2 linked regions of the Macaca mulatta genome follow. The protein of the gene in region 2 purifies or fractionates together with the protein of the main gene of each other region. This does not show direct contact. Links are inferred from orthologs where the notes say so. Each region holds a gene or a part of one and is shown on either strand. Other genes may lie near its edges.

Region 1 (3,359 bases), on a different chromosome or scaffold from region 2:
TTGTGAATACTTGCAGAGATTTTTTATTCAACTACAAGTAAATACAAACCATATCTTTTTTTTTTTTTTGGGACAGGGTCTCTTGCTCTGTCACCCAAGCTGGAGACCAGTGGCGTGATCTCAGCTCACTGCAACCTCCGCCTCCCGGGTTCAAGCGATTCTCCTGCCTCAGCCTCCCGAGTAGCTGGGACTACAGGTGACCGCCAGCACGTCCCGCTAATTTTTGTATTTTTATTAGTAAAGACGGGGTTTCACCATATTGGCCAGGCTGGTCTTGAACTCCTGACCTTGTGATCCACCTGTCTCGGCCTCTCAAAGTGCTGGGATTACAGGCCTGAGCTACTGCACCCGGTCACAAACCATATTCTTTTTTTCAGACGGAGTGCCACTCTGTCACCCAGGCTGGTGTGCAGTGGCGCTATCTCAGCTCGCTGCAACCTCTGCCTCCCCGGCTCAAATGACTCTCCTGCCTCAGCCTCTGAAGTGGCTGGGACTACAGGCGCCCACCACCACACTCAGCTAATTTTTTCTGTATTTTTAGTAGAGACGGGGTTTCGCCAGATTGGCCAGGCTGGTCTCGAACTCTTGACCTTGTGATCCGCCCGCCTCAGCCTCCAAAAGTGTTGAGATTACAGGCGTGAGCCAACGCGCCCGGCCAAACCATATTCTAAAAAAAAAAAAACCTTGCAGGTTTTTCTGGTTACACAACATATATGCCAACGCTTTTGTCATTATAAATAAGGCGTAATGATGATCTTTGTAATTATATTTTGGTTCTCATTTTCATTTCTTTAAACGAATAAGGAGAACTTCTATATTCTTTAAAAAATTGTAAAATCTCCTAGAAGGTGCACTTTATTACGCTATTATTAGCTACTCACCACTATAAGAAAGAGCGCTGAATTTGCGGTAGGGACCTAAGTTTAAATCTTGGTTCGACCGCTGAAACATACTTCGTTTCATAAAATAACTTTACGCTATTTTCGCTTTACGGAATATTGATACTCAACATGCATTCTTTACCGCCAACGCTTTGAAATGGAGCAGGGAAACTGGATGTAAAAGAGGGGAGGGAAGAAAACCTCTTCCTTCTTCCCTAGGGCAAAGGGGCTCTGAATCCTGGAGCCCTTGTTTCTTCAGGCACTGGAAACTCACTGCTCCTGAAAGGGGTGTGTATCTTGAGATAAAGACAAGCTTCTATACGTCAATGTTCTATCCACATCCATCCCTACCCCCCTCTAGCGCCGTGTACCTAGCACACAGTAGGCACACTCCACGTGTTTTAGCCTGCAAAGTTGCAAGTGTGGCCCCCCAAGCCAAGCCCTGCCCTCGTGCGCCCCCTTCTGGCTAGCTGAAAATAAGGCAAAAATTGACTACATTTTCCGGCGTGCCAGGAGAGAGACTTCCGGCTATGCAGGAAGGAAATTGACGAACACGTGACGCGGTCGGGCGGACCCCTGCAGACGGAGCAGCGGAGCGAATTGGGACCTCTGGCTTACGAGCAGTCATGTTTCTCCAGTATTACCTCAACGAGGAGGGAGATCGGGTCTATACGCTGAAGGTGAGGAGAGAAAATAGGTTGTAAATAGGCATGGCGAGAAATGTAGATGGGAGGAATGGGTGAGGCCATACACGGAGTTACCTAGCTGGGTGGAGGGAACCAGAAAGTGCAGAACCGAGGTGGGGGAGAACCGGGAGCGCGCGACGAATTTTTTATTTTAAAAAAACAAAATTGGCCGGGCGCAGTGGCTCACGCCTGTAATCCTAGCACTTTGGGAGGCCGAGGCGTGTGGATTACCTTAGCTCAGGAGTTAGAGACTATTCTGGGCAACACGGTGAAACTACGTTTCTACTAAAATACAAAAATTAGCCGGGCGTGGCGGCGTGCGCCTGTTTTCCCAGCTACCTGGGAGGCTGAGACAGGAGAATCGCTTAAACCCGGGAGGCGGAGCTTGCAGTAAACCCGGATAGCGCCATTGCACTCACTTTTCTTTTTTTTCTTTTTTTTTCTTTTTTTTTTTAAGACAGGGACTCGCTTTGTTGCCTAGGCTGTAGTGCCTCGGCTCACTGCAACCTCCGCCTCCTGGGCACAAACAATCTTCCTGCCTCAGCCTCCCGAGTAGCTGGGACTACAGGCGTGCGCCACCACACCTGGCTAATTTTTGGTTTAGGGTTTTTTTGTTTGGTTGGTTGGTTTTGTTTGTTTGTTGTAGAGACGAGGTTTCGCCATATTGCCCAGGCTGGTCTCAAACTTCTGACCTCAAGCCATCCTCCTGCCTCGGCCTCCCAAAGTGCTGGGATTACAGGCGTGAGCCACCGCGCCCAGCCTTTTTAAGTTTTGTATTTCTCTATTTATTTGTACAACTTTTTGAGCTGATCATTGCATCTTCTGTTTTCATGTTTGCCCTTTTTCGCGCTGTCCCCACCCCATCACTCCTGTACTGACATACATTCTCTATTCCCGGAGCAGAAATTTGACCCGATGGGACAACAGACCTGCTCAGCCCATCCTGCTCGGTTCTCCCCAGATGACAAATACTCTCGACACCGAATCACCATCAAGAAACGCTTCAAGGTGCTCATGACCCAGCAACCGCGCCCTGTCCTCTGAAGGCCCCTTAAACTGATGTCTATTCTGCGGCCTGTTACCCCTCGGAGACTCCGTAACCAAACTCCTCAGTCTGTGAGCCCTGATGCCTTTTTGCCAGCCATACTCTGTGGCATCCAGTCTCATCCTGGTGATTGAGCATGCTTGTGTGAGGCAGTCATGGTGGCATCACCCATAAAGGGAACACGTTTGACTTTTTTTTTCGTATTTTAAGTTACTACCAGATTATTAAAGATAAAATGATTTGAAAAGCTCTTATTTTGTGTTGTTGGAGGAAAGGATTGGTAGTATTGTTTTAAAGGGAGGGAGATGATGGACGAGAGCACTCCAGAGAGTTGCAACAACACCACTTGGAAGAAAAACTTCAGTCCTGTAGCAAGAGTGGTCATGTGCTGTTAGTGGTAGGAGGGTATTGGGGAAGAAAGATTAAGACTTTCACAGCTGTCAGCATTCACTGAAAAATACCCCTGTTGTCACGTAATTTCTCATCCCTTGAAATAACATTTTGATTAAAAATGGAAGAGTACTTGAAAAAGTAATAGGTATATTATAGAGAGAAGGCAGTGAATTGAAAGAAGACCAATATTTCCTTTTTGTATAACTTTGAGAAAGTTACTTAACCTGTTTAGTCTGATTTTTCTCCTTATTAACTTATCTTTGAACTCATTGATTTAGTGGTGGGCTTTTTTTTTTTTTTTTAAGACAGTCTCACTCTGTTGTCCAGGCTGGAATGCAGTGGTGGCTGACTACA
Region 2 (3,500 bases):
AAAGCTCATTTTTAATCTTTTTAATTTTGTTAATTTCATAGTTTCAAGTGCTATTTTGTTATTCCATTATGTTAAAATATCACAAAGTAAAATATTACAAAGTATTAGGACTAGATGTCCTTATTGTTTTAAACTAGATCTCAAAAATAAGATTCCCAGGAATTAAGGCCATTAAAATCAATGTACAGATGTCAGTTTGCTGGCACAACATGAAAGTTGTTAAGTTTGCTTTAAATTTTTGATTCAGAACTTTGACATTATATATGAGTATCAATGACTTTTCCATCACTTAAAAGAAAAAAAGCATTTCCTCAATTGTCATTTCACACATGCGCCTTAAATATAGCTCTGGTATTCCTTTCTGCATACGTGACATCTCATGATCTGGACTGCTGTTAGCCTGGAATCACAGGCATAAATGGGAAAAATTCCCCAACTACTGCATCTATTACAAAAAATCAAAATCTCTAATGGAAAGATCAAGCAACATTTCAAAAAGCACTTTTAACAAGACAGTAAGTACATGAGAAACTAAGATCAAAATAACCTCATCAGAGAACAGTAAGCTTGAAAGGAGCTGAACTTCTCTACCTCAAAGACAAAGTCCTCCACCGAGTTCCCATGACAGACGCCAAAATGCAGTCTAGAATACAACAGTTTTCCTGGGGGAGGGAGGTTTCTGAAATATAGGTCTAATTTCCCACTTCATTGATTTACTACTACTTCTTAATAGAAGAACTGCAAATCAAAACCAAAGACTGAATCTATTATTTAAAATCTATTTAAAAACCATCTTCAGAAAACCTCTTCAAGTTTATCTGTTTTAAGCTAAAATACTCTATTTGTTAAAAAGCTGCATATGTGGCATATCCACAGCAGTATCTTTATATTCAAAACAGGATGAAATGCTAAATATTTAAAGCATTTTAGAATATATTAATATCTTGAAGGCTTTGTGTCTATTTAATTCATCTTTCTTGTCAGTGTTATTTAGGAAAATAACCTTATGCAGTCTGAAGAATAACTTAGGCAAAATATTCCTCCAGATTTTTATGTAGATTCTTAAACATGAGTTAAATCAATTATCAGGACTAAAATTTTCATCTCTGAAATAAATGAAATTTGGTGACTTGAGACTTTATTTAATATGTAAGTGGCATAAGTAATCTTCTTATGCCATGCAACTGGGGCTGGTACCTTTGACATAATATCAAAGTTACTCAGTGACCAAAGCTCCTTTGTTTTCCTGCAAAAACAGCATCTATAAAAATCTATCGCCTAGGTTTTAAGTTTCCAATAAAAGAAGAGCTAGAACTAAAAGGAACTTCTTTGTCAAACTGAGTGCAAAGTCTTTCTGGATTTAACCTTCCCCCAATCTTTGGCAGTCTTTTCTTCCACTCCCAATCTGAAAATATTTTTTGCGGCTCATATTCATTACATCATTCGAAAGCATTCAAGTTATTTTTATTAAAAAAAATCTATTCTACTTAAATTCATATGCTATCTGATGATATAAAAAATTAAATAACATAATTAAAACAAGTTCAACTGATACAAACAGCTTTACGACTAACAGCTGGCAACAGCTAACATTTGAAAAATATTCAACCAATGGGAGCAAAAATATAAAAAAATTGCTGGTCACATGCCACAGAAATCACTTAGCATTATTTGTAAAGAAAATGGAGAGCACTGGTTTGTTGGTTAGGTCAACTCCATACACCATGGCTTTCTACACAATTCTTCAGGGACACGTGTTAGTTGTCTCTCTACAAACTTACAATTTATAAGCAAAATAAAGAGATATACTCATTTTTTTTCTCTTGAAAATTAAGTTTTATTGAAGAGCAAGGTCTCTAAATAGAATCCCAAGAGAATTTTACTTAACTGAAAAAAAAGTTATTAAGAAATGATAGTAATATTAGTACTAATACTAAAATAGCAAGTACATTAAAGAAAGTATATAATGGAAAAAACACTGAACTAGAATCAGATAGTGTACAAGGCTCAAATGTGCTCGTAATGGCTGATTATTTCATTTTTTGCAAAAGATATGAGTTCTACGTACAAAATCTGAAAATAAATTGTAGGCTTCAAAGATATTGTTAGGAAGATAAATGAACTCTTTGCAAGGGAGACACAATATAACTATAAGAAACTAAATCACTGAGAATTATTCTTGAAATATAAGTTACGTAAGTGAAGAACAACATGGCAGTAAAGTACTTACTGTTTAAGTTTTTCTGTGAATATATATTGGGTGAAATCTTTCATTGATGGAGCAAAATACATAGTCTCCTTTATTTTAATACCTTTACTCTCAATGTGATCTGAAGAATTAAACCGTAACACATAAAATGGATGTGCAACAGGTCCAAATATCTCAAATATCTGTAATAGAAACACAAAGTCCTCTTTTAACATGTAAAATAACTATTTGAAAAGTTAGCAGTGTTTTCTTTTAAAAATCCCACTGATAATTGCTAGAACAAGGTAATTTTGTCAATGTTAGGGCAATAAAATAATTTTTATTTATATTTATGTCATTTTTACATACTCAGTCTTCATGTATTGATTAAAATGCACTCGCTCATTCCAGATTTCCCTTCTATGAATGTAAAAACAACAGTAACAAGTTTGTTCCTCACCAAATTCAAATCATTTTGGTGGTACCAACTAGATGCAAATTATGATTTTTTAAAATTATTGTTCATTTAAGTTGTAAGGTACAAAGAAAAGGATTGTAACTGGTAACTTTTGAGAAATAACATGTATACATTTGGAATCATCAGATGGGAAATATAAAAGCAAGCTTCTAACTTCAATAGGTGTTAAATCGCTTTTGCTGTTTCCATAGTGTGAGGAATTTTGTAAAATTAAAGACTTTTTCTAATTTAACAAATAATAAAGTGGAAGTTATTTACGTTTAAAAAACACAAAGATGGTGCAGCCTTTAACATTTAACTAAAAGAACTGCTTTTAGCAGAACCACATATTTTACTTCTGAAAACGTTTTAAGAATAATGAAAGGAAACCTCTTGGTTTCAAACTGTATTTTCTTCTCAAAATACGTGAATTAAAAAATATATTTTCTGGCTGGGTGTGGTGTGGCTCACTCCTGTAATCCCAGCACTTTAGGAGGCGAGGCGGGTGGATCACCTGATGTCAGGGATTCAAGACCAGCCTGGCCAACATAGTGAAACCCCATCTCTACTAAAAATACAAAAATTAGCCGGGTATGCTGGCAGGCACCTGTAATCCCAGCTACTCAGGGGGCTGACAGAAGAGAATCGCTTCAACCCAGGAGGCAGAGGCTGCAGTGAACCGCAATTGTGCCATCGCCCTACAGCCTAGTGGACAAGAGCGAGATAATATATGTATATTATAGAGATAAGACCATGACCAATGCCAGTACAGATTTTTCCAGTCTTTTTTTTAATATGTTATTTTTTCTTTACGACCATACTGTAGTTTTGTATACTGTCCCTTTTTAAAAACCT

The links.
Region 1: the proteins of NAF1 (region 2) and NOP10 purify together in Homo sapiens (co-immunoprecipitation; 6 studies listed by BioGRID and IntAct, with this or other methods). This does not show direct contact. The link is inferred for Macaca mulatta from reciprocal best matches to the Homo sapiens genes NAF1 and NOP10.

The regions. Positions count from the first base shown.
Region 1 is NC_133412.1:11,535,689-11,539,047, reverse strand, and holds NOP10 (H/ACA ribonucleoprotein complex subunit 3), read left to right. Parts: upstream 1-1,451; 5' UTR 1,452-1,507; coding exon 1,508-1,561; intron 1,562-2,470; coding exon 2,471-2,611; 3' UTR 2,612-2,859; downstream 2,860-3,359. Other genes in the region: NUTM1 (NUT family member 1), read right to left, coding at 882-963. UniProt on the Homo sapiens protein: Required for ribosome biogenesis and telomere maintenance. Part of the H/ACA small nucleolar ribonucleoprotein (H/ACA snoRNP) complex, which catalyzes pseudouridylation of rRNA.
Region 2 is NC_133410.1:171,742,998-171,746,497, forward strand, and holds part of NAF1 (H/ACA ribonucleoprotein complex non-core subunit NAF1), read right to left. Parts: intron 2,392-3,500; coding exon 2,231-2,391; intron 1-2,230. UniProt on the Homo sapiens protein: RNA-binding protein required for the maturation of box H/ACA snoRNPs complex and ribosome biogenesis.